Rhinolophus ferrumequinum: one gene and its partners. The protein of the gene in region 1 binds, or shares a complex with, the protein of each later gene. Links are inferred from orthologs where the notes say so. Each region holds a gene or a part of one and is shown in the gene's direction. Other genes may lie near its edges.

Region 1 (7,311 bases):
TACTTCAATGAAGCTGTAATTAAAAGTTTCACCAGAAGAGGGTGCCAGAGACCATGAGTTCAAGTCAGAACCAGCCTACCGGATTATGTCAGATTTGTGGACTTTCTCCCCTGCCTCCCACCTCCTGGAAGGAATGAACTGGACCCTCAAGAAAGGATTCTGCTGCCTCTCCATACTGAGGGCAGGGCTGTCTCACTGGGATAAATCCACTGCCTTATTCACTGACGCCATTAGAATAACAATTGGTCCACTGCAAATTTGCTGGGAAGCTTTCAACAGCCCAAAACAGCCATAGCTTGACCATCAAAAAACAACCTCAGTACCCCCATCCTGCCCACGCCCAAATGGGGAGAGTGTCAAAAACATACAGGACCCCCTGGAGAGTGCGAAGGCACACTGGACCCCCAACTGAGACACAGGCATCCTAGGAAAATAAGCACACACACAAATCCACGTGCATGGACATGTGTCCCTGCAGTCATCCTTCTGGCAACACACACACGCCAGACAAGGAAGAATTAAATAAAACAAAAAGTATCACAGGGCGGTGAGGAGGGTTAGGGGCACATAACAGAAAGTGATGGAGCCTCGCGGAGAAGAGATTTTTCAATTGCGTTCTGGTGGCAGAAGGTGTTCACTGTGAAGAGAGGAGAAAGAAAGGCTTTAACGTGGATCAGTGTTCATCAGTGAACCAAAGTTGAACCACCCAAGCCACCCCCAGATTCCTGCCCACCAGAAACTGTGAGATGATAAAGGCTTACTGTTTCAAGCCACCAAGTTTGGGGGCAATTTGTTCTGTGACACTAGCTAATATGTCTGGATTTCTTCAGAAGCGAGAGCCAAAATCCACCTCTGGAATGGATATGCCTTCCTCCAAGCTTGAGTCCAGGGAGTGGCCCAACTAATGCCACTATGTGGGCACTTCAGTGGAAGAAACCTAGTTTGGGTCTGGGAGTTATGTTATAAGGGTTATAAGGCTACATCCTAAAACAAGATGACCTGGGTTCAAATACTAGTTTAGACATTTAGTAACTGTGAATTTGGGCAAGTGCGTTGACCTCTCTGGGCTTCCGTTTTCTTCTCTATAAAATGGAGATATCAGGATTCGTGGACAATTGAGTGGGCCACTGTAGTACTTAATTTCCCTTTTGAGCCTCTTGGAGAGTAGAATTGTGTCCTTCAGAAAGATTCCTTCAAATCCTAACCCACCTGCCCTCCACTCCCTCCCCCTCTCCCCACCACGCCACCTGCAAACGTGACCTCATTTGGAAACAGGGTTATTGCAGATGTAATTAGTTAAGATGAGGTCATACTAAAGTATGACCCTAATCCAATGACTGCTGTCCTTATAAGAGTGAAATTCGGATGCAGAGACACACAGGGGAGAAGGCCACGTGAAGACAGACAGACGCAGCAATGAAAATGATGTGTCTACAAGCCACAGAGGGCCACGGACTGCCAGCCACCACCAGAAGCTGGGAGAGGCAGGAAGTACCCTCCCCTGGAGCTTTTGGAGGGAGTTGGCCCTGCCAACACCTTGATTTTGGACTTCTGGCCTCCAGACGTGAGAGAATAGATTTCTGTTGTTTTAAGCCGCCCAGTTTGTGGTCATTTGTTACAGTGGCCCAGGGGAAAGAAATGCAAGCCTCTTTCCACCAGGTGGCAGAGAGCAAACCTCAATCAATGCCAGGTAATTCGATAAATTCACTTTTCCTGGGGCCAGGTCTAGGTTCAAGGGCTGTCATATGGCGTTCAAAAGTGGGGCCAGTTGGGGGGCATCCCACCTTTGAGTATCTCCCAGCCAGGCCAGCAATTTCAGGTCCTTGTCCTGCTGCTCTTTGCCATTCATTCCTCCGCCAGACACCAGGGCCTGCCTTGTACCTACAGACTTTCTGCAGCTCCTCCCTAATTTCTAACGCTTGGCTATTGTCTCTTGCTCTTGTGGGCCACTGGGAAGTTCTGGGGATGGGGGAGAAAAGGGGACAGTTGAAGCCTGTCACCACCTCCCTACTATCACCTCCCTGTGGTCACTCCACAGCCCCCTCTCCACCCTGGGCTTTCTCTTGAGTTCTCTGCTTGGCCCACAACCAACCCAGGTGACCCTGGGGCCCCTGGGGAAGTGGCCTGAGGTCTCCAGGGCAGGCCCAGGGAATTCCAAAGCTTTGGAAATGTAAACCTCTTTTTTCTCTAACTTTCATCCAGACCTTGGATTTCCACCAAGTAAAGCACTGCTCAGAAGCCAAGAAGGAAATCTGTGCTTCCTCCTTTCCTATCTGCTGTGTCATCCATCCCCTTTCCAACGGCTCAAGGAGGTTGCATCCTTGCTGGCCAGGCTGGAGCAGGCAGGGGACAGAAAAAGAAAGAAGCAGCGGGGAGCACATACCAGCAAAAGTACCAAATATTACCCAATCCCCCCATGCGGGGTTTTCAAAAAGTGAGAATGGGATGGCTGCCATAAAATGCTTCTGATTTCTACATGGACCTAGAATTTTTCTTTTTGAAGAACCTCAGATCTGCGCCGTCCTGTGGAACTTTCTGTGATGATGGGAACATTCTAGATCTGTGCTGTCCAGTGCAGACGGTCCCCAGCCACATGTGGCCACTGAGCAACTGACAATTGGCCAGAGGGCCTGAAGAACTGAGTTTTAAATTTTATTTAATTTTAATTTGTTATAAAGAGCCACAAGTATCTAGCAGAAACCAGACGAGACAAGCCAACCTTGGATGAACTGGTGCGCCCAGATGAAAGTCTACAACCACAGAGAGGAGAGCCAAGTGCACAGAGGGAGGCAATTAGCAGGCCGGATCATAAATAAAATACATTTCAATTAAGGGCCGGTTGAAGGATCATGGGTGAAAACCCTCTTTTTATGGTTCATATACAGCAGCCCTCACTTTCTCCTCCACAGACCAGCCACAAAATACAAGTTACGTGTTTACATCAGAACCGCTGGGGGCTACACATCCCAAGATCCGAACCCTCAGTTACCCCCCAGTGACAAAGCACAGATCAGGGGAAATGGAGACGGCTCTGGTTCGTGTGGATCCCAAGCCAGACACCGGCCCAGGAGCCTATGGCCAGCAGTGAGAATGTATTAGAATCCCATCAGCATTATATGAATTTTGAGCCACTGAGATTAAAACAAGATCAGCTCCAATCCAAAGTACATTTGGAGGAAAATGAAATAACAAAGGGAACATGGAGGTCCCTCTGAGCCAGAGCTGAAGGTGAGGGAGTAAGCTAGTGAGTGTCAGGTGGGAGAATATCCCTGGTGGAGAGAATAGCTAGTGCAAAGGTCCTGGGGTAGCCAGAAACTTGGCCTCTCACTCCAAAACTCCAGATTGACCACTTCACATCTTGAGTAGGCATTTCAAACTGGGCAAACACGAAACTCTTGAATCCCTCAACAGCCCCCCACAATCCCCCACCCACTTATCTCGGACATCATCCCAGGCCTGAAATACCCACCACCCCATACTAAATTTGCCTGAACTTGGAAAAAATGTACCAGCCTCAAGGCCTTTTCAGTACCTAGAAGCTTTAGGTTCTAACATCCTCTCTCCCTAGGCTTGGAGGGGAGTTAGGAAAATTCACCTTGATAAAATGTGTAGCCTGGGGCTTGGCTCACGGGCAGCACTGGCTAAAAGGGAGACGTTAAGTTTTCCCCAGAAAGGGGGCTTGAAGCTTCATTTCATTGAACGTTATTTAACATCATAAAATGTTATTAGCCCATATCTAAGGATCAGAATGAGAGTGCTAGAGATCTCCACCCAAGTCCCAGCCCCCCACCCTCCCACTCCACGCCATAAACCACTCCCGAGCATGGAGAAAAATTACCAGGCTTCTCTTCAAACAATGCAACTATACGCCGCTCGGCCCCTCCCCAGGTTGCACCCTGTGACCCCAAGCCCCAAGCCCAGGTAAATATCCTCGACCCCGCCAGCACCCGAAACTGCCTGCGGCCCTGCAAGCTGCCCTTCCCGGCTGAGGGACCGCAAGGGTTAAGCAGCAGCTCCCTGTGCTCTGATTGACAGCCCGGCCGGCGGCTGGGGCGAGTCAGCCAATCAGAGACAGTGGCCACCGCCCACGTGGGCAAGCGGCTTCACGATTGGCCAGTGCCGCTGTCTGCCGTCCCCAAAGCTTGAGCCCACGTGCAGCTGCTGCCTGTTCATTGATTGACTTTGCGGTGCAGGTGGCGGTGAGGAGGGGCCGGGGCGGGCCGGGGCGGGACCAGGGCGGGCCGGGGCGGGGCCCGACAGGTCAAATGGCCCCCAGGTGAGGGGAGGCTCTTCTTTCTGCCTGAACTTGGCTCACCCGCGCAGCTACCTCCTTGCTTCTTCTGGACCTCTATTCTACGGAAGGTGTGTAGGCCCCAGGTCAGCTGGAGGACCCCAGGGTCCCCGGGCGGTGGAGGAGGCTGGAGGGACGTTGAGGGGCAGAAGCCAAGCAAAGAATATAGTTTGGTCGCGCGATTGTGATTGTGGTAATGAAGAGGTCTCTTTTTCTTCTGCCTGAGAAATTCCTCCTAATGCACCTGGCCAACAACTCTTACTCATCCTTCAAAACCCTTTTCCAATGATGTTCTCCCATGCTTTAGAAAATTGGTCTCAAAACTAAGGTTGAGCTTTGGCATTCTTCTCTGGACTCCCCCAGCCCTGACTGTTCGCCCTGGGGGTCCCCACTATTAATCAGCACCGCCGCAGGCACCAGAGTGTTTGATGAATGAATATAGGCTGTAGGGAAAGCAGTGGGATGCTGGAGGTCAGTCGGGGTTTGGGATCCAGGTTTGGGTCCTGGAGGGGAGACCATGTTGTCTGGTGTAGAAGGCCCAGGGGTGGGATGGGGCTGCTTTGTCCCTGCCACTGCCTAGCCTTCTTCCCTCAGGACCTGCCATCTCCTTGTTGCTTTTAGAGACCTTGTGATTACTACCTGAAGATGAGCTATTGGGGCCATCCCAGCTCCCAGGGGCAACCTCCAAGGATGGTGAGGCCCCCAGGAACTTTGGTGAGGAGGGCATGAACCCCTGGGGCGGGGCGGGGGGAAGACTGGGGGCTGGGCTCATATCTAATTCTCCTGCTTCTGATGGAAGGCCTTGGGAGGGGCTGGCTAGGCTAACCCAACATACCTACTGATTGGTGCCAAGGCACTTGCTTTTTTAAAGTAAACTTACTTAACACTCAGGTGTAAAACATGACTACATCATCTGTTAATATATTACAAGCAAACTCCCCCCTCCTCCAGACGTTACTTCCCAGATATGACCATTTTTAACAGTTTAGGCTGGGGGGGGGTGCGTAAAGGACCAGAGAGGGAATAGTTTATATTTTTAAGGCAAGATGCAAAATAGAAGATACTCTGTGGGTACTTAAGTAGCAAGAGAGAAGGCAAATTACCTTCAGGTTTTAGGAGTCCTACCTCACCCTCCTTGAACCTTTTTCTAGGCTCATCCTGGGGCCAGCCTTCCAACCTTGAACTCTCAGGGCATGCTGGAGCAGCTCAAGAAGCAGTTCCCCAGGTGAGGATGATTCACAGGGGACCTGCTGTGACCCTAAGTTCCACTGAGGGAAAGATTTCAGGTCTCTCGCTGGCTCAAAAGCCCCTGACCCAAATGACAGGACTAATAATAGGGGGAACCTGAAACAGAAGGAAAACCAAACCAGTAATACCGACCCTGGCTTTATATTTAAATGTTTGATTTTTTGTTGTTCAGCGTGCATTTGCTTGCATTCAATTATATTTTTTTTAATGCTGCATTAAAATCATATTCATCTTGAGGCTGTCTTAAATGTGGCTCCTTTGAAGGGGACCTTCATTCCCACCCTACCAGGGGGTGAGGGTCATTCTGGGGAAGGAGGGCATTCCTCCCCTTCCAGCCGTCTTTCTTCCCCCACAGGTTCCCCCCTCAGTTGCCGGCACAGATGGAGAGCATTTACTACTTGGTGAGCCACAAACCAGGCAGCCCCTCCCAGAACATCCTAGAAAGGTGGTTCTGTTAGGCCCCAGGAACAGGATTTCAGGGACACCCTCTTCTCTGTTTTGCTAACTTTGGGCAAGTGAGTTAACCCATTGAGCCTCAGCTTCATGTGAGTTTTTCTTTTTTCTTTTTTTTTTTTTTGAGAATTTTTATGAGTTTATTTGAGCCAAACTGACGACATATGCCCAGGAGCAAGATCTCAAATTCTCCCAGGTTTTTTATAATAACCTTGCTGTGAAAACTAGAAATTCCATATTTAAAGGAGGTGCTTCTTCAGCTCACAGAGCATGACTAGAGTCCCTGCCCTTGAGGGACGTATGTTCTGATGTGCTGATATCTTCTAGAACTTTTCCCAGTGTTCTATATCAACAATGTCCAATGAGACATTGTTGATATAGAGCATTTGTTTTTTAATTGATTTAAATTTGCATAGTCACACTTGACTAGTGGCTACCTCATTGGACTGAGCAGTTCTAAGGGGAGGAGAGAGACATAAATTGAGAAACAAGATTCACAAACTGTAAGCATTATAAAGAAAATAGAAAGTGATGAAATGAAAAATGAGTAAAGATTTTGAGCTAGGGTAGTCAGGAAGGTCTCAGAGGAAGTGATGTTTGCAGAAGAGAAGGGGCTCCTGGTACCCCTAGAGAGAACTGGGAAAGGTGTTCAGGCAGAGGGCAGGGTATGTACAAAGGACCTGGGGCTGGTGTGTTGGAGGGACAATGAGGAGGCCCAAGTGGGAGCTGAGTGAGCAAGGGGGAGGGGTCTCTGGGGAGGTCCTTGACCTTCAATTCACATCGAGAATGGAATCCAGGGGCCTTCCTAATTAGCACCCACTCTGAGTGTATGAAGTGGTATCCCATTAATGAGAGTAGGGACCAGTGAAATAGAGTGACTTGCCCAATGTCACACAGCTGGGGAGAAGCATGCGCAGCATTCAAATTACCGACCCCCGCCCACTTCCATTGACACCACCCCCTGTGGCCCCTGTTGTTACTTCACAGCTCCAGAAGGTCCGACAGGGTCTGCAGGAACATCACAGACAGGTGAGTGAGTGACCGGGAACTCAGGTATAGCTGCCCCTCGAAAGGCAGGGTAGAGGAGGAGGAGGGCAGGGCAGGAGAGCCCTGTGGGCTTCGGGAGGACCCCATGGAGATGGGAACCCTGAAGGGCTGTGGGCAGAGGAGAGATAGGACCTGTAATCCCCCAGGATATCAGCATGTCCCCACATCTTGGGAGTGCGTCTTCCGGCCTTCTCCTCGGGTCCCTGCGTGGCTCAGATGACGCTTCTTTGTAGGTCAGTGGCTTCAGCTTTGACGGGCTTGTTCTGTGTGCC
Region 2 (7,324 bases), on another chromosome or scaffold:
AATGGTCTTGAATTCCAGGCTAAGGAGCAGGGCCTTTGGCCCATACACAGTGGGAGAAGCACGCATGGCACAGCCAGGGCAGGGGAAGGAGAAAAAGCGAATGTACATTTGGAAAGATCTTTCACATCTTTCACTGGGGAGGCAGGGAAGACACCGAGGCAGGGAGTTAAAAGGCTGTTGTTATAGAGGCTGGAAGATCTTAAAAAACATCGTCCAGTTCTTTTATTTATGCACAATCCGAGGCTGAGAGTGGTAAAGTAACTTCCTCAAGGTCACCGGCAAGATCAATAGCAAAGTCAAGGCTTCAACCTGTGGGTTCTGCCTCCCAGCACAGGTCTCTACAACTGCTTCAGTTTCTTCAGGAAGAGAGGAGCCCCCTGAGATTTCCCTGTTGTCCTTTGCCACTGACTCTGTCGTGTGTGCTGCCCTTACTACAGACCAGCCTGCTAGGACAGGGACAGGGAAGTGTTCCCAGAGGACAGGGCAGGGAGCATTGCCTGTCCGCTTATGAAGCGGGGGCTACTTCTGCTGCCTCTCCACCAATCAGGGAGCTTTCCAGCCGCAGGAGGAAGCCAGGAGCCAGAGGCTGGGGCTGTGGTGATGATTTATGACGGCACAGAAACAGCAGGACACTAATGTCTCTGACTGGCCTGCTTGTCCGCCAACCCAGCAGGACAGGATGCACCTAAAGGTCATGTCCTCCAGCACTGGAAATGGGGCAGAGGGTTAGCCATACTGCTTGCCCAGTGCCCTTGTGTCAGGCCAGTCACCAGAGGGCAGGGCCTCTCCTTTCCTGAGCAGATACCAATGGGTAGATCCTTACAGCCTGGGAAAGAAAATGTGTCCTTGCTACTGGGAGTCCGGAAGATCCGCCTGGGTTTGAATTCAGTCTCTAGCAGTCACCTTTGTCTTGTTACCCAGCATCTCCACGTCTCAGCTTTCTTGTCTAAAAAACAGGGATGACTCTGAGCCTCTCAATTCTTGGGACTTGACTATCTCCCACGTCTGTACAGGTCTCCTGTTGCCACAACTGAATGCCAATCGCCTTCTACTTCAGAAGAGGAACATGTTGAATCTAGAACTACGACTGTCACAGCTGGGCGGAGCACTTACTTCTCATTTAGCTTAATTTCTCACGTCAAAGAAGCGGAAATTGAGATCCAGAGAGGGCACAGGCCTTGCACGCAGAGCTGGGGGCCAGGCAGAAGGCAGAGTACTAGTTCTCCAAATCCCTGCTCCAGGTTTCTTCCAGCAGTCCCAGGCAGTAGAGGAGGAAGCCAGAATATTAAGCCATTTGCTCTGTATAATGTCATCACGCTTCTGAAACAATCCTCTAAACAACCACGGGCTGCTGGACAGCTGCAGCTTTAAGCCTAGAGTCTTAAAAAAAATCAAAAGGGAAAGGAGGGCAGGCCCAGCTCTCCTCTGCACCACTGGATGGAAACCTCGATGTGGAGACTGCCCATGTCATTACTGTTTGGCTTTGGAATATCCTTTTGATGGAGGAATATTTTCCTGTGATTCCCCAAATGATGTAGATGATGTTGGGTCTGCCGGCAGTTTCTGGGTGTGGGCCGGGATTGTGTCTCGTGAGACCCAAGAATGGAAACACGGACCCAGGAGAGGCAAAGAGTTTTAAAAAGAGGATAGTTTATTGAAGGCAAAGAGTCAGAGCTCCTGAGTGAGAGGGGGTCCCGAATGGGGGTGGCCCCGTGAGTGAGGCAAAAGCTCTTATTTTTATACCTTCCCTTGTCCACTTGGGGAAGGGGAGCTGTTTGAAGAAGGGAACTGGCGCCTTCTAATGAAATTCTTCTACCAGGTTTGTTCTGCTTGCCCATCCTAAAGGAATTAGCAAAGTAACCCACTCTTTATCTATCAGATCTATTCCGTTTGTCAGGCCAAAAGGAATTTTATGAACCTCAAGGCCTTGTTACATTATGTCCTGGAGCGAAGGAGTGATTTCAAAACCTGGAGTTTTAGGATATGGCTGTCTTTGTTTACTCCACCAGAGACCTCCCTGTCTACCTAGGGACATGCTAACTATCCTGTATCACTTTCTTTGCATCTGCTTTACTTTTCCAAAACAGATTTGGCCTTGATTTTTTAATTTTTAAAATTTTTTTATGTACATTGGGCTAGTGGGGAAAGGAACTGAGGTGGAGAGGTCCGAGAGGCGGCCTGAAATGTGCCAGGAAGTGCCCGAGATTTAGCATTGACACATTTAATTCACATGTGGACAACCAGCGCTGGCTGGAAGGGCTCATTTCCACAATCCCGTGATGCCCAGGCCAGAATGGTTCAGGCCTGACCTGCAGGAAGGAAGAGAAAGGAAGAGGAATGACTTGGCGAACAGTCATGTAAAAGACAGAAGGAAGCAGGAGGGTTTATTCACCAACAGGATTGCATTTTGCTGGGTGGTGTAGTAAGAGGAGAGGGGCTGGATCCTATGTTGGAGGAGGGGGAGAAGAGAGCTATTTCTAGATTCTCTCCTCCTTCAGTCCATTTCCTCCACTCCTGCCAGAGCAATCTCCCTATAGTGCATTCATTCACTCATTTCTTTACTTCCTATGTTCTACAGATTTACTGTGTGCTAGGTACTGTGCTAAGTAAGCACTGATGAAGGAGGCAATGATGAAGACAAAACACAAACCTCACTTTCTGCCTTTGTTAAAATCTCTCACAGGCTTTCTATTTATTTCAGAATAAAGACTTCTCTCCCTTCCTTGCCTGCTATGCAGGGCTCCTTCTGTTCTGGCTCCTGACTCCATCCCCAGCCCCACTACCCATCACTTCAGGCAACAAGCACGATTAATTCTTTGCCTACCAATAAATATGTCAGGGAGGAACCAGCCTCTGAGTCCAGCTGCCTGTGTCCTCTGCCTGCTGTCAAATCCTTACAAGTCCTTTAAAGGCTGGGTTGGAAATGTTACCAACCTCCCTGGAGAAGCTTTTCAGAATCTCTTCCTATCTAGCCTGAAAGAATAACAAAACAAAACAAAACCCCAAAACTTAACAGTGCTTAACACATTTTAAATTCTTTGAGGGCAGGGTTCCACGCCCTCTTCCTCCAGCATCTAGCCTAGAGCCCGGAATATTCTTTCAAAGAAACTCCTTCATTCTAGGTTCTCAAACACAACACTTCATATCTCCTGCTTAATTTTTTTTATTCCTTATCACTTTCTGACATAGTCTACATGTTTATCTTGCCTATTTTCTTGGCCAGGGTTTTGTTGTTGTTGTTCACTGCTGTACCTCATTGTTTAGAACAATGCTTGGAACATGGTAGGTGCTCAATAGATAATTGCTGAATAAATTAATAAAATGTGCAGTCAAAACAAAACTATGGGGTATGTGAGCTATGTTGAATGTCAAAAAGGGAAGCATATGAGCAAGAATTTGTCAGCTTGACCTCAGGGTGTATTTCCTAGGTGGGGAGAGGATTGGTTAACCCCCAGATACAACCCATGTTAAACATACTGTAGGCTCTTGGTAACAGAATTGAATTTTTAACACTCCACACTAGAGAGGAAGAAGGGGCTCCCCAGGGGTCAGACGGCGGACAGCTGCATCCTTTCCGTAGATTAACCAGTATGCCTGGCCAATATTTGTCCTTCCATGTTTTCACCTCATCAGGTTCCAAGAACCTCAAGGTGGGGTTGGGGAACTGGAATCTTGTGGGAGTGGATGACAGTTTTAGTTCCTTAATTCAACCATCCCAGGGGCGGGCAGCACTCTGGCAATTTGGATCTACCTTGGACATGCTCCCTCTCCTGTGAACCCCCTTAGCCTGTTACTTTATCTCGGACATTGGGTCCAGGGCTAGGGCCCTGGCCCGGTCCTCTTGTAATTTCCCTGAGAATATGGGGCGGGGCCGTGAATCAGCACTTGCTCCGACTGATGCAGCCTTCGTCCCCGCCAGGGGTCCCCAGCGGCCGCGGATTTAGAACCCCCTCCTTCTTCCTCCTCCAGCGTGCGATGACCACTGGGAGATGTAGTGTTGACCGCCCCTTTGTCCTTGATCTTTCCAACGTATCACCCCGCCAGTGGATGAACTACAACTCCCAGAGATCCATGCGCCGGAGGTCTGGCAGGGCGGGGGTCTGAAGGGGGAAGGTGAAGTGGACTGCTTCTGGAGAAACTGGGCCGCAGGAACCCGAGTGAAATGAAGAACGGGGAGTGCTGGGGTGCAGCCGAGAAGGAAGGGGACGCCTAGAAGGTGGCGGCAAGCTGATTGGGGAGGGGACGCCCGAGAAGCGGAAGGGCCGGGGAGGAGCCTGGGCGGGGTGCGCGGGCGGGGCTAGTTGCGTCACGGTGTGGGCGGGGCCGCAGGGGGTTGTCCGCCCGCTGCACGCACAGCAGCCGCAGCCGCCTCGCGCCTGGTCCCGCGGTCGCAACTTGAACCGCAGCCTCCGCGCCGCCTCTGCTGCTTGGTTCGTGGATCGGTTCCTCCGGCACACGGGCTCCAGCCGCGCCACAGCTGCCTTCCAATCCCTCTAGCCGTCCCGATTTCCTTGTTCGGCCCGATTCAGCCCCGAAGATGGTGGACCGCGAGCAACTGGTACAGAAAGCCCGGCTGGCGGAGCAGGCGGAGCGCTACGACGACATGGCCGCGGCCATGAAGAACGTGAGTTTCTCCTCCCCTCCCCCGCATCGCCCCAGCCCATTCGCCGACGCGGGCCTTCGCGTGGACGGCCCAGGGACTAGTCGCCTGTCGCGACTACAGGGTTGGCCGCCCCTCCTCGCTCAGTGAGGGGACAGGGGAACGTCTCGATGATGGGAACCCGGGTTGTGACGCGGCCTCTCCCAAAGTGTTCGCGGGAGCTGGCGTCGCTGCCTCCGCGGCCCTCCCCGGGCTCGGGCTGGGGCGGGGTCTTAATAGGGCAGGTCTCGGGAGCAGGGTCCCTGGATCCCGCGTCTTTGGAGCTGCTGGGGATCTGAGCGGGGGCCGTGGGCATCCTTTGTGCCCCACTTCCCCCTCCTCCCAGCCTGGGCGTGGGGGCGGGGGACCGCATGGATGCGGTTCCTCTTTCTCTCCCTGGTGTCTGGGCGGCGCCTTTCCCATTCACTGAGCAGGTCTCCCGGTTTCCTAATACTTACCCCCCTCCCCAAATCTTCCCCACTGCTGCTCCTGACAGATCCTTTAGAGTCTCCCCGGGAAAAATGTAGTCAGGCTCTCCTGAAAACCTGGGCTCAATGGTGCAAAGTCGAAACCTCTTTTTTCACGTTTTTCTTAACAAAAGGCTCCTCTTTCTCCATTTCCCAAAGCAAAGTCCTCGTGCTTTAAGGAAGGGGGAACGTTTGTCTTGCTAGCGTTTTTCATTGATTGTTCTCAACCTGTCATCTCCATTTTTCCCTAATGTTTTGTATTGAAAAGGGTAGGTATTGTCTTCAAAATAAAGGTTGTGAATTTAGCTGACTGGTTCAATTTGTGACATGCTGTTTCTTTTTTAAATACAGGCACACATCTGTTGAAATTCCAATAAGTTGAAAAAATACTCTCTGATCTGATATTGCAAACAAAGCGGTGGTGGGAGGCAGTATCAAGTCATTCCAGAAGATTCTGCATTTGTCATATTGCAGAGAGCCTAGACTGGGTGGAGGCTGGGAGGAGTTATTTTAAAGGGGAAAAAGTCTTTTTTATTTTTTCCCAATTTGTTTTGTTAGATACATCTGAGGCTTTTTTTTAAAAAAGCTAGCGCATCCTCATGCTGATGAAAAGAGAATACTGATCTCCAGTTGTCGCATTTTGTATAGGATGCAGATTCCTGCCTGTATTGCACCATTTTGTCAGTAACACTACATTTATCTAACGGCCTGTCAACGACTTTGATACTCGAGGGGAGGCATGGAGCCATTACTAAATGAAACATGGCAAATTATCCAATTAATGATTTAGATTTCCCACTAACTTAATATTTAAATTCCCGCCTTATGTAACCAAGATTTTAAAGTGTACCTCCAGCGTGAGGTGGATTTATTTAGAAGTGTACCTTGCATGTTAAATCTGTTTAATGAAGCAGTACAGGTATTCAGATTCCTGAATAATTTCACTAGTTCACAGAGGTGATAATGCTTTTATATTTAGGCCAGCTATGTGAACAACAAAGATTTTTTTATCTCACTAAGGAAGAACATTGGTTCTGAAATTGGTAGTACCACTGTATTAATATGTTGCCACAGTTGCTGTCTTAAAACATTTTAAAACTAGAATGATAGAAGTTGCACTTTTAATAGTTGGAAATGTCTTTAGTTCATGTCATTTAGATTCTTCTAATTTTTCCATGTTTCTAGTTTCACAGGAAAGCGAGTGACCTCGCACCTATATCCATAGCAACCCAGTGATGTCACACACAATGACACAGAGGCTGCAATGCACCTAAGGGCTGGTAGGGAGTATGCAAATGGCATTTGTCCAAGGTAATGCAGAAATTAGCTGATAAGCCAGGTGGAGTTGAGTACTTCATCTCCCACCAGATAAGAATTGGTGCAAAAATAAGAATTTCATTTATCCTTAGACATGCAAATCAGTGACCTACAGATATGCTTATTCATGTTCCTATTTCTAGTTTTCTCACAAAAGTTGATAAGATAATTTGTATTTTTAAAGATAGAAATTTTAAACAAGAATGTTTTATGGTCATAGTGTAAGGATGGGCTGTATACTTGGGTTTATAGCAAATTTACTTGGCAGGTTTTAATAAAAACCTTAAACAGTTATGACTTCCCACTAGGTCATTTTCAGTAAATGTTAGGGAATGGGAATCTATTACAAAACACTTTGGGATTTGGCAAAGTTCTCTTTTGCTTTATTAATGCTTCTGCTCCTTGATGGAGCTTGGAGGAAAGAACAGTTTGTAAAATAAAGCAGACCTTTTTTTTCAAACCTGTTTACTGTGATTTTGAAGAAGTACGTTTACCTCAGTCCTCATTTTCCTCATCTGTAAAATGGGTCAGTACCTATTTGAAAAAGTTGTGAGGATTAAATAAATGCAGTAGGTGCTCAAAAATGGTAACTATTTATAAAACTTTGTTTCTTCCTTTTATAAAAATCATCTCATCATGAAGCATTTGGAAAATACAGGAAGATATAAAGAAAAGACTCAATCCTGCCACTCCAGTGAGCTCTCTGAAATTGCCTTGCTGATAGAGGGATAAAACTTACGGGTATTTAATAATATTATCCTAGTAATGACACTGTTGGGACCTGTGCAACAGAATGGTAGTTGTATGTGGGTAACCAGGAGAGAAGTAACATGTAGTATTCTGAAAGGAAAAAAGGAAGTTTAGTCTTTTAAGATAAATGTGTAGTCTTGTATTTAAGGAG
Region 3 (6,250 bases), on another chromosome or scaffold:
CTAAGAGTCCTTAGCCTTGTCATCAAAAGCTCAATCCATAAAAGCAAAAATTGATTAATTGGACCTCATCTAGAGTAAAAACGTTTTTTGTGAAACACCCTATTAAGAAGATGAAAAGGCAAACTATAAACTGGGAGAAAATATTTGCAAACCACATATCAAACAAAGGACTAATATTGAAGAATATATAAAGAAGTCAAAACTCAAGAGTAAAAAATTAAATAATACAATTAGAAAATAAGCAAAAGACATGAAGAGACATTTCACTGAAAAGGATATACAGATAGCTAATATGAACATGAAAAGGGGTTCATTATCATTTGCCATTAGGGAAGTGTAAATTAAAACCACAATGAGAAATCATTATACAAATATCAGAATGACTGAAATAAAAAATAGGGACTACCCCAAAGCTGGTGAGCTTTCAGAGAAACTAGATCACTTATACATTGATGGAGTGAAGGTAAAATGATTAGGGTTTCCAAATTCCCGACATTTTGGAACTTTCAGGAATCTAGAATGGGAAATTGTATTTCCTGAGAAGTCTCGAGAATTCACGAAATAATCTTTTTTATTTAATTTTCATTGATCATCTGTAATAATGGCTGTAACAGTAAATGTTAATAAACAGAAAAGCCATAGAGAAGGTGGGCAATCGGGTTTTGTGGCCCTAGCGCAGTCTTTCAGAGGTTTCAAGACACTCCTATATGAAAAAGGTCAACGCAAAACTTGAGTAAATAAAATTTCCTAAATGGAGGTCGACTGGAATTTCATGACTAATGATTCTCTTGCACTGAGCGCTAAACAGGGGTAACTACGTATCATTTTGGCTAGGTTTCTGTTATATTTCAGGTTTGCTCAAAATATAAACAATGTAATTAATACAAACTTTATTTAACCAAACCTTAAGGTATACAGTGAGTTTTTACATATATCACGCAATGTATTAACATTCCCAATCTCATTTAAATATTTTATTTATTAAATTAAACATTAATAGAAAACAAATGCAAATATTATTCATTTGAAAATTTAAAAAATACTTCAAATAGTTTTTTTTGTTTTTTAAGATTTTATTGGGGAAGGGGAACAGGACTTTATTGGGGGAACAGTGTGTACTTCCAGGCCTGTTTTTCCAAGTCAAGTTGTTGTTCTTTCAATCTTAGTTGTGGAGGGTGCCGTTCAGCTTCAAGTTGTTGTCCTTTTTCAGTCTTAGTTGTGTCGGGCGCAGCTCAGCTCCAGGTCCAGTTGCCGTTTTCTAGTTGCAGGGGACAAAGCCCACCATCCCTTGCGGGCGTTGAACCAGCAACCTTGTGGTTGAGAGCCCACTGGCCCATGTGGGAATCGAACCGGCAGCCTTTGGAGTTAGGAGCATGGAGCTCCAACCGCCTGAGCCACCGGGCCGGCCCCTTCAAATAGTTTTTATTTGTCATTTTTAAAATGAAACTTTAAGAAACAGAGCATTAATTGCCTGATCAGACAATCGTGATCTTCGCTTTGTAACAAATATACTTGATGTGGAAAAATTTCTTTCATTTTCTGTAGACGTTGGTTGAATTATGAGTGCATCTACAAGCATCTTCAACTTGGGAGAGAATGCGTTGCTTCATATAAGCTCATTTCCTTCCTTAGAGAAGCAAATATTTTGTCTGCATGCATAGGGCTAGGCTTTGATGTCAAAATTGACATTGCTTTTGTCAATTCACACTTCAGATCAGATTCTGATTTAATGTCAGAACGCTCTGTAATGACATCCTTTATTTCTTCTCTTGGAACTTCTGCTATAAATGTTCCTTTAAAAAGTCTTCCCATTAGTGACTTTGCCGATCGTGCAATTTCATTCTTACTTGACAAGGCAAAAAATTCCTCTTCCATCTCACATAAACAACTAACGTTGCTCAAGTACTCTGTGAGAGATACAAGATCTCTAATTCTATGTTTAAACAATTCAAATTTTATTTCCTTTAAAAGCATTTGGCTCATTGATGAATTCTGTTTTTCTAAATTACTGAAAAGGAACTTAAAAATTCCTTCACTTGTGAGAATATTAGCTTCTCTATTACTTGAGGCTTCAACTGCTAATCTTACAGGTTGTAAGCAATTCAACATACCTCTCAATATTTCATAATACTCTTCTTTCCATAAGTGATCGAGTGTGGTTGGTAGTATCGGCCATCACTTTGGGAAAAGATTCATCGTGGAGAACAGAAAACAGTTTGTATTTACACAGAGAAATATTTATTTTCACAACCCAGGATTTGACTACAATGTCATATTAAGGTAAACTACCTTAGATTTCCTTAGTTAGTTCACCTGAAGATGACTTTGTAGTCAAATCCTGGGTTGTGAAAACAAATATTTCTCTGTGTAAATACAAACTGTTTTCTGTTCTCCATGATCAAACGTGCTCGATTTACAAGAGCTAAAATTAGTTGGTGCCATGCGGAGAGTCACTCGGAGGGGTCTTTGGTCCCGCTCCCTACATAAGAATGCAGGACATAGTGAGGTCAAAAAGGAACACCCACGGAGCTATAGATAGGGGAGTCACCACTATACTTTCGCTGGGTGGCTGGATTGGAGACACAGGAAGCAGGAGCCACTGAATCTGCAATCCACACTCTGCCACACTACGCGCTTGCCAGCCACTATCTGCTTGCTAGCCCCCATTTTTGCTGCTAGCGTAGCCACAACAGGTATATTAGTGGCCAATGGCTCACTGGTTATAGCTGACGGCCAACTAGCCACAGCTGATGGCCATCCAATCACAGTTGATGGCCATTTACTACCTGAGACAGCACCTTTCCACGTGTGGCCGAGAGCCTGGAAACTGCTCTCTGGGGCTCTGTCCCCACACTGGTCATGTGATATCTGATTCTGGTGTCACGTGTGCATCTGGTGGCATGTAACATTGTAACACAATGTAACTTTAGATAGCGATAAATAGGAAAAATGTCTAAGAGATACATTGTGAGTAGTACGTTTTTTTCCCATTGTGGGTATTACTGGGTTCAAGGAGCCGATTTTCCCGATTTCCCAACCAACTTTTCTCAGGATTCGGGAATGGGAAAATGAAAAAAATTCCCAAGAACAGGCGGGAAGGAATTCCCACCCGGAAACCCTAAAAATGGTATATTAAATCTGGAGACAATATGACAGCTCTATGATTAAACATAAAGTTACTATATGACCCAGCAATTCCTCTCCTACATATATAACTAAGAAAACATTCATGTCCACACAGAAAACCTGCACATGAATGTTCATAGCAGCTTTACCTGTAATAGCCAAAAGCTGGAAACACATATGTCCTTCAACAAGTGAATGGTTAAACAAACTGATACATGAATCACGTGGAATACTACTCAGCAATAAAAAGAAACAAACTTGATAAGAGCAACAACTGGATGAATCTCCAGAGAATTATGCTGAGTGAAAAAAAATAGTGCTAAAAGTTATATACTGTATAATTTCTTTTATATAACATTCTTGAAATAACAAAATTATAAAAACGAAGAACAGATCAGTGGTTGCCAGAAATTAAAGAGAGGGTGGGGATTCCCCCTCTGGCATCCAAACCATATGCACCACCTGCTGTTGGGTGTGCTCAGCTGTCTCTGACAGGTTAAGAAACCGTGTTTCCCCGAAAATAAGACCTAGCCGGACAATCAGCTCTAATGCATCTTTTGAAGCAACAATTAATATAAGATCCGGTCTTATTGATTGTCCGGCTAGGTCTTATTTTCGGGGAAGCACGGAAGAAGGCTGGAAATATGGTGGCCTCTGGGGAAGGAACTCAGTAGTCAGGGTTTAGGAGGAAGTGGGAGACTTAATTTAGCCTTTGAGTACCTTTTTTACTCCTTGAGTTTTTGCTTTTTTGATGTATTTAATTAGATTTTTTGTTAAAAAGTTATTACAGCCCGTCAGGAATGATAAACTTATCCCATTAGAACTGTCTGAAAAGCACCCGAGTCTCCACAGATGTCAGTTTGCTTCTCTGCGGATATTGTCCTGTACTTGGATCTTCCCTGCCTGTCCGGAGCTCAGCCTCGGGGCTAGAACCCACCCACCTCCGGGGAGAGCCCCAGTGCACCTGCGAGAGCTCAGGAACTTGCCCCGCGGCTGCGGAGTGGGGGAGGTGAGGCCTGGTATCCAATGAAAAGGGCGTCGGTGGGAGGGGCTTGCCCAAAGCCTGTGAAGTAAGGCCCAGGCCCCAGTGCAACCTTCAGGCTGGCAGCCCTCCCGCAGCTCCTTGCGAGGCATGGCCACCCCCAAACCGTTCCCGACGCTCGTACAGCTGGAGCAGCGGGAAGGGACACTATTCCAGGTGCTCGGTAACCTCACCAAGCGTCCCCACTGGTTCCACAATGAGTACCTGAAGACTCCGAAGACGGTTCACCTCGAGGCGTGCCTGGTGGAAGCGATCTTCGGTGAGTGGCCAGAGAGGGGAAGCCAATGCGGCCTCCTGCCCCACTCCTACCCCTCCCTGCCCCGGTTGACTGCACCCCAGGATAAGCCTGTCCTGTGGCCCTGGCCGCAATCCAGTGCCCCTGTTGCTTGCACGTCCCGTTGCCTCCCTTTCCCAAGTCCCATCCCTCATGGCCTCTTTGCCTCCTGCGCAGGCCCGGGCGGAGAGCACATCCCGCACGTCGAGTGTGTGTCGCAGACATTGCTTCACGTTAATCAGTGGGACCCCGAAGGCGAGGCTGAGATCTTGGTATTTGGTCGGCCTTCTTACCAGAGGGATGTGTCCAAGATGATCATGAACTTGGCTTACTATCACCGCCAGCTCCGGGCGCAAAGTAGGGGCCCTGGGATGAGGGGCACCCTGAGCAGCCCTTGGGTTCCTTGGGAGGGATCATGATGCGTCCTGGCCTTGCCTGGGCAGCGGTCTCAATCTCTTCGTCGCCCGGGTGGGGGAGTGTGGGTTGCCTCGTTTGCAGGGGAGCTAGAAGGCCAAATTGACCCCGTGCTCTCAGATTCCGGGCCCCCAACCCCGCAGCCCGGACGGATGACTCCTTTTGTGGAGAGAGTATGAAGGAAGACACAGGTGTGATCTCTTCACACTGCTCTTTCAGGCTCACAGAAGGACGCTGCCCTGGAGACCGGGACTCAGTGGTCTCCGGACGCTGTCGGGGAGGCCGAGACCAAGATGCCCCCGGTCGCAGTCCAGGAGGCGGCCACCCAGCGCTCCCCCGACGCTGTCCGCGAGGCGGCCACCCAGCGCTCCCCCGACGCTGCTCGGGAGGCGGCCACCCAGCGGTCCCCCGACGCTGTCCGCGAGGCGGCCACCCAGCGGTCCCCCGACGCTGCCCGGGAGGCGGCCACCCAGCGGTCCCCCGACGCTGCCCGGGAGGCGGCCACCCAGCGGTCCCCCGACGCTGCCCGGGAGGCGGCCACCCAGCGGTCCCCCGACGCTGCCTGCGAGGCGGCCACCCAGCGCTCCCCCGACGCTGCTCGGGAGGCGGCCACCCAGCGGTCCCCCGACGCTGCCCGCGAGGCGGCCACCCAGCGGTCCCCCGTCGCTGCTCGGGAGGCGGCCACCCAGCGGTCCCCCGACGCTGCCCGCGAGGCGGCCACCCAGCGCTCCCCCGACGCTGCCCGCGAGGCGGCCACCCAGAGGTCCCCCGACGCTGCCCGCGAGGCGGCCACCCAGCGGTCCCCCAATGCTATCCGGGAGGTAGCCACCCAGAGCTCCCGCGACACTACCCTGGTACTGGTTCCCAGGATATGAAGGCTTCTCAGGGCCCAGGAGCGAGAGCCAGGCAAGATTCATGTGGAAACTTCTCTGGAGCCCTCTTTTTCTAGGTCCTGCTTCTGCGCAGAAGCTGGGGAAGGTGTGGGTTGTTATTGGTTCTTCCACCTCACCCCAATGTTAAATGTGTGCAAACAGGAATCTAAGTTCTAAGAATCGAATTTCCATAATAAACACTTAAACTTCCCTAAGGTCTGTTAATTGGCTGGTAGAAGGAGAGGGAGAGGAATATTCTTCCAGAAGCCAGTATCTGCTCTAGGCTGCTTGCTATCTACGTCGAGGCAAGTGAGACGTCTCGTATTTCTTCCCAGGCACCGGCAGGTGCTTCCCTCTGCTCTTTATTCGCACACCTGGCTTTTCCGCGAGAGGCCTCTCAAGGCCATCGAGTCCATCCTCAGTTGGGAAATCTCTCCAAACCTGAGGTGTTTCTATTCAAAGTGACGTGGGATGCGTAAACTTGGTTCCAACAAGGCATGCGGCTGGGTCTGTCGTGTCGCT
Region 4 (6,003 bases), on another chromosome or scaffold:
GGAACAGTATTCTGAATCTTGTCTGTACACAGAGACCCTGAGTCTATAAATCACCAAGGCTGGAAATTCTGACTCAGATGTGAGCTCCAAAATGAGGCCAGTCTTGATTTTCCAGGCACATTACCTAGGGGAATTACTGACTCATTCATTGTTTATGAGAGCTCAGAGCAGTGTTCCCATCAGTAGGAACCATACACTTGGAAAAGACTAGAAGAAGCCTATCACTAACTTTTGCATAAGTTATTAGTGATACCACCTCCGCCCTAGATGGAATAGAGATCAGTCATAACTCACTGTCCTAAGTAGTGATGGACAATTGTACTGCTTATTTCTTCTTGGCTGATTATGGTGGCATCTGTGCCATGGCTAATACTTCTTCTTTTACTTGGATCAATGAAACAGGCAAGGTGGAACAAGCTATATATCACCTTAAGGAAAAAGCTATGTGACTCGAAGGTTGTATGGTCTATGGAATTTGTTTTCTTGGCCTAGGTGGGGCAATTAGGATTCCTGGTTCCAAAGCATTTTATATGGATTATTAATTGTTCTTGTTTTTGTCATAGTAGTCAGGCTGACCCTTTGCATTTGTTAAAGAGAAAATGGAGGCCACAGTTTGAATATACCCCTAGACCAAACACTCATAGCCACGTAACCAAACCTTAAAACTGTCCTGATTTCCCTGAGATGATTCTGACTTTAAACAAAACTTAAGCTTTCTTCATGTCAGCATAATGTTATAGCTTCCTAGCTAATCAGCTACAAACAAATAAGCTTATTTAGTACTTATTTAGTACCCTAATAAGAATTTAGTTTCTAATAGTCAGTCACAATACAAAACAATGCACTTCCTCATTCATATTTTATAAATTGAGCTATAACTGCTGAGATCCAAGTTTCAAGCCACTTGTTTTTTGCAAAGTTTGTTTCTCACTCAATAAAATATTCATCTCAAGTACAGCTCTCTGAATATTCTTTTAACATATTCTATGCAGTCTTAAATGCTTCTACATAGTCACTCTCCAACAGATGATCTCAATGATGATACAAAAAGGGAAAGAAGATCTTGTGATCTGGTTGACTATAAGGACAACTGAACAATCTCTAAGCAGTGACAATCTGGATATCTAGCTTTCCCTGAATTGGTCAACCCCTCGAAAATTAGAGAATGGCCAAAAGTAGGGACTGACAGACTGAATATATAAGCAGACAATGTCCAGAGCAAATATAAAAATAGAACTCTAACCCACAATCTGCAGCACTTAGTCCAGCAAGCCAGACAACACCTATGGCTATCAACACCAAATGGCCAGGACTTGATTAGTAATGACAGCTTTCCTAATTTTTGCCCTTTATTTCAACTTAGGACCAACTGGAGAAAGCCAAATATGTACCCCTAACCAATCACATAAATTCCCCCACTTTGTTAGCCCACCTAGAGCCTCCCCATGCCAATACATTCCTTCTTCAGTCATACCTGAAGCCTTCCTTTTCTTCTACTTTAAAGCTTTCCCACTCCTGTGCCTGCCTTTGAGTCTCTGAGAAACACAGTGACGGTATCTGACTCCCTTGCACTACAGCAAACACTGAATATGTAGCTTTTCCTTGTTCCCATTTGGGTGGTTTTTCTTGTTCTTTTTTTTTTTTTTTGGTTTTGTTTTCTTTTATTTTGGTCTTTGTTTATTTCCACACAAGATAATTCATCAGTTATTTGTTGAAGCTGTGTGATCAGTATGTGATCATTCATTTATATTACCTTCTCTACTTTTGTAAATGTTTTAAATTTTCCACAATAAAAAATTTAAAATATTTCAAAATATCAATGTCATTAAAGATTAAACAACAGAGAATGATTCTAGATTAAAAGAGACTAGCGACATGACAAGTAAATTCAATGCATGCTCCTTAACTGAACTGTAGATTTGAAAATATTAGCCATAAAGTACATTATTGGAAAAACTGAAATTGGACTGTATATCAAACAATATTGAATCAATTTAAATTTCCTGAGTGAATAATTGTAGATGCTTACATAGGAGAATGTCCTTGTTCTTAGGAAATGATGTTGAAGTATCTGGGATAAAGTGTCATGATGTTTGCTACTTACAAATATTGCATGAAAGTTATATATAGGTAGAGAGATAAAATAAATGAATAAAAATATTAAAATGGTGAAACCAAATGAAAGGCATAGAATGTAAATTTAATGTTTTAACAATGTTTCCATAGGTTTAAAGTTTTTCAAAATAAAAAACTGGTGTGAAAAGAATACAAGAAAATACTATATGCAATATTACAAAAAAAGTAAAAGCAAAAATTTTGATTCTTATGTACTTTTTTAAAATAGAAAAATAATACAAAATCTATTAATAGTTAACTATATTGTGAAGGAGAGAACAGGATAGATGAGAAGGGTTGAAACTAGATTTTTTTCTGAATGTATGTTGTTTATAATAAAATGTTTTTAAAATGTACTTTGTAAGTTATTCTTACATTCTAAATAGCTTGTCAGTGATGTTTTTCATTTCTTACTTTACTTGAATATTATTTAGTAGTGTGATATAATGTCTCCCCATCCATCCATCCATCCATCCATCCATCCATCCAAGGGAACTAGTATGGTATAGTTACTGTTTGTAAATGCTCTTAAACATTACAAGAATGCACTCTATTGTTCAGAACTATTAGGGCTTTATTGTATTCCTTTTCCACATGATTGCTTCTTGTCTGACGGTAATTTGTTAAATATCTCCTTAGGAGTTTACTTTCCTCATTTTTCTATCTGTGATATACACTTTGGTGTGATTATTTGGTACAAAAAAATTGGTGTTATGTCTTCATTATGCTTTGTAACATTTTTCATTGTATAAAGATTTCATCTTAAGAGTTGAAGATTACAAGAAGTGAAGTAATGAAGAAGAAAGCTTCTCAGGGAGAAATTATAAAGCCAATTCACTCACATACTTTATTGGCTGAATCCACAGCCCCTCAGACTGTTTCCTCCTGGGCTAAACAGAGAAAATGAAAGCATATGATCCTCTGGAAGTCTTCTTGGTAGAAGAGTTTTAATAACTTGCATCAATCACACAGCTAGAAAATGTTGGAGCCAGTATTCAAATCATGCCCACTCCCCACCCATCAGAGTCAAATCAGGAAACTTGCAGATAACAGTGATAAAACTGATTCATCTTAGAAGATTCTGCTAACTCCTAATAACTTTGCAATTCTGAAGTTTTGAAGCTGGCATGGGGTCAGCAAATAAAACTTGAGGCTTGCCAAATGTAGGAACCTTAATATGGGGTCTCTGCATAAAGCTAGGACCCCAAATGACTACACTTCCAAAATAAAACTAAATCAGAAATAAACTATGTTATCCAGATGGGGATGGCAAAGGAACTTGTCTTGATTTTGCCTTTCTCAAGTATGTCTTCACCTAATAATTAATTACCACAAACCAGGCTTGTGGCTAACTCTTGCTATATGTAGGAGTCTGAAAATTTTCAAGGAGGTAAATGAAATTGCCTCATGTTGGATGCATTCTCAAGAGAATGGCTCAAGTAAAAAAATGATCAATTTATAAAAAAATGAAGTTATCTCCCTACCTAATGCCCAGTTTTTTTTTTTTTTTAAATTAACCCCAAATGATTCTAGGATTTAAATGTTAAGACAGAAACTTCAGCATTCTTAGTAGAAAGTATAGTGAACATCTTTAGACCTCAGGACAGGAAATGATTTCTTAAGCAAGACATGGAATGCACTTACTACAAAGACTGATAAACTGACTATATTAAAATTAAAAATTTATTCATCAAAAGTCACCTTAAAGCAAGTGAAAAGGCAATTTAAACTAGAACATATTCACAATAAACAAAAATTTTAAAGGATTAGTAAGAGATTGAGGGAGGATACATGAAAGGGAGAACTTTCACATATTTATGATCCTCAAGACTTTTTTTTTTAACAATGTACACGTATTTTTATGTTGAATTTTAAAATTAAATTGAAGAAATAAAATATTCACTAAAGTTTGATTCACTATCTCCTCTTATAGAGACTATCTGTTGATAACTGTGATGTGGAGGAGGCCTTCGAGGCTGATACCTCATTGGGCAGAGAAAACCACGGCTAGACAGCTTCTGAGATCCAGCTGGAGCTCAAATAAATACTAATTCAAGGTCGAAGAGGAAGTCCTGGTGATTGACGCAGAGCAGGAAGCGCCCTGCGGCACCCACCAGGCCTGGGTGCCCAGAATCAATGGGCCCACTTGCCCCAAAGGGCCATGGGACTCCGCCGGAAGGGGCGGGGCTGGCCGGAACTGTAAAAGGGGCACAGGCCTCGCTCCTCTCTGGAGTTCCGCCCGCGTTGCCTGGCTCTTGGTTCCGGCTACTGGTCCTAGTATGGCGGACCACGGAGGTGCGGGGGCCCAAGGGCACGACTGCAAGCCCGCCCACTCCCTGGACGTGCTAATGAAGGTACCACTTCAACCACCACGGATTCGCACCCGGCCGTGGTGGTTTCCTGTGCAGGAACTGAGAGACCCGTTGGCGTTTTACATGGAGGCATGGCTGGCTGACTCAATCTTCGGTGAGCGACCTGGGGTGCATGGGTGGCCTAGGCCCCTACAGTCTGAGAGAAGCCAGCAGAGAACCTCGTCACAGCCTCTTTCCCAGATTCGCAGGCCACGTTTGTAGCCATGATACCAGCTTCCAGCTCTTCCCTCCCCGGCTGACATCCCCTTCAAACCTAGCTCCTCCTGACCTTCGACGGTGCCTCCCCTGAGTCTCTCTTTTTCTATTTAGGCGCAGACCGAGCCATCATTCCGGACATAGAGTGGATGAACCAGGTCCTGCTGACGGTAGACATGGTAAACGACGGGAACTTTGTCGAAATCACCATCTTTGGACAGCCCCGTGTGCAAAATCGGGTGAAGAGCGTGCTCCTGAGCCTGGCATCAAGGCACCGCCAACATCGTGCCCGAGGTGAGGGTCTGAAAACCTGCATGTGGAGGGAGCCACGGGTGAGCCATCTGGCCGTACCTGACTTCCTCCCAACCTCTCTCAGCTTCCTAATATTTTTTGCAGTTTCCCAACTCCAGTATGCTTCACGCAGCCCCTGGGCATCCCTTTGTGAGAGGAATCCAAGTAAGACCTTGGGAGAGTAAGATGACATCTTACACGTTCAGGCCTATCACTGCCCATGCCACCCTCAGCTTGGTTAGCCATTATTTCCAGATCCCAGGTTCGGAGCCTCCAGCCTGAGAAATGATGTTGCCAGCACTTTCCCCTAACCCCCCAGTGATGGAGTAGTTTGAAACAGCATTTTTCCCTATGCAGCTCAAAAGATGAAACAACTTGAGGAGTTCTTGAAGGCCCGCGCATCAGGTCTCCATACGGTCCAGCATCCTGTTGCATAAGGATTGTCAGGAGCATTATGAGAACAATCCTGCTTCTGCTGTTAAAATTGAAGAGAAGCAAGTATTCTTAAATCCCTACATTTCTTTTTTCCTTTGCTTTGATGGGTAATGGTTTGATTATGTTGATGCCAGTGTGAGTTTGTAGTTGCCCATCTAGTAAAGAAATGAATTTCCTTTTTGTCCAATGGCGTAAAGATCTTTGCTCGCTTAAAATTAAGTAAATTTACAAAAGATTGACTGACTGTTCATTCATATCTTGATGTGTAGCGTGGGTAAAAGGCCTGAGAGGTAGTGATTTTCTTTTTGTTTCTTAGTTTCTACCATTTTGAAATTACTAACCCTTCTATGATTTTATGGTCAGAGTCAGGCCCTCAAGCACAGGGAGAAGAGATGAAGGGTCAGTTCTGCTTTGGTTTTTTTTGCATCATTTGTTCTCAAACTTTAAAGTGTGGAACAATCACCTTGAGAACTTGCTAAAATACTGTTTGCTAGGCTCCTTAAGTGATTGTGGTTTAGTACATTGGGTCCATGAATTTGCATTTCTAACAAGCTCCATAGGTAATGCTAATGATTCTTTGAGGCTCGCACTTTCA

The links.
Region 2: the proteins of TLE6 (region 1) and YWHAG are in contact, whole or in part, in a cryo-EM structure (PDB 8XI3), measured with the Mus musculus proteins. The link is inferred for Rhinolophus ferrumequinum from reciprocal best matches to the Homo sapiens genes TLE6 and YWHAG. Residues at the interface, in NP_444484.1 of Mus musculus: Phe137, Leu138, Ser139, Glu140, Ser141, Asp142, Leu144, Gln145, Leu295, Arg347, Asn430, Leu447, Gln470, Met472, Asn489, Asp510, Asn511, Thr512, Met530, Pro553, Arg555; in NP_061359.2 of Mus musculus: Lys50, Arg57, Arg61, Lys125, Asp129, Arg132, Tyr133, Gly174, Leu177, Asn178, Val181, Glu185, Phe201, Asp202, Ile205, Ala206, Leu208, Asp209, Glu213, Tyr216, Lys217, Thr220, Leu221, Ile222, Met223, Gln224, Leu225, Arg227, Asp228, Asn229.
Region 3: TLE6 (region 1) and KHDC3L share a complex: the UniProt entries of both Homo sapiens proteins name them as parts of the subcortical maternal complex. The link is inferred for Rhinolophus ferrumequinum from reciprocal best matches to the Homo sapiens genes TLE6 and KHDC3L.
Region 4: the proteins of TLE6 (region 1) and OOEP are in contact, whole or in part, in a cryo-EM structure (PDB 8H94), measured with the Mus musculus proteins. The link is inferred for Rhinolophus ferrumequinum from reciprocal best matches to the Homo sapiens genes TLE6 and OOEP. Residues at the interface, in NP_444484.1 of Mus musculus: Trp256, Ser258, Phe304, Thr305, Arg306, His307, Val318, Asn320, Val322, Asn323, Glu332, Ser333, Asn354, Ser355, Arg356, Leu373, Ala374, Ala375, Pro376, Ser377, Leu378; in NP_080756.1 of Mus musculus: Arg32, Pro33, Trp34, Trp35, Pro37, Gln39, Glu40, Glu67, Trp70, Met71, Gln73, Gln94, Pro95.

What each region holds. Positions count from the first base shown.
Region 1 is NC_046301.1:60,230,221-60,237,531, reverse strand, and holds the start of TLE6 (transducin-like enhancer protein 6), read left to right. Parts: upstream 1-4,308; 5' UTR 4,309-4,362; intron 4,363-4,912; 5' UTR 4,913-4,936; coding exon 4,937-5,005; intron 5,006-5,442; coding exon 5,443-5,516; intron 5,517-5,894; coding exon 5,895-5,940; intron 5,941-6,979; coding exon 6,980-7,021; intron 7,022-7,311. UniProt on the Homo sapiens protein: Component of the subcortical maternal complex (SCMC), a multiprotein complex that plays a key role in early embryonic development.
Region 2 is NC_046290.1:92,431,093-92,438,416, forward strand, and holds the start of YWHAG (14-3-3 protein gamma), read left to right. Parts: upstream 1-4,320; 5' UTR 4,321-4,537; coding exon 4,538-4,624; intron 4,625-6,085; exon of another isoform or gene 6,086-6,417; intron 6,418-7,065; exon of another isoform or gene 7,066-7,164; intron 7,165-7,324. UniProt on the Homo sapiens protein: Adapter protein implicated in the regulation of a large spectrum of both general and specialized signaling pathways. Binds to a large number of partners, usually by recognition of a phosphoserine or phosphothreonine motif.
Region 3 is NC_046286.1:34,639,794-34,646,043, forward strand, and holds KHDC3L (KH domain-containing protein 3), read left to right. Parts: upstream 1-4,258; coding exon 4,259-4,427; intron 4,428-4,619; coding exon 4,620-4,799; intron 4,800-5,075; coding exon 5,076-5,731; downstream 5,732-6,250. UniProt on the Homo sapiens protein: Component of the subcortical maternal complex (SCMC), a multiprotein complex that plays a key role in early embryonic development.
Region 4 is NC_046286.1:34,652,899-34,658,901, reverse strand, and holds OOEP (oocyte-expressed protein homolog), read left to right. Parts: upstream 1-4,394; coding exon 4,395-4,581; intron 4,582-4,796; coding exon 4,797-4,976; intron 4,977-5,330; coding exon 5,331-5,410; 3' UTR 5,411-5,495; downstream 5,496-6,003. UniProt on the Homo sapiens protein: Component of the subcortical maternal complex (SCMC), a multiprotein complex that plays a key role in early embryonic development.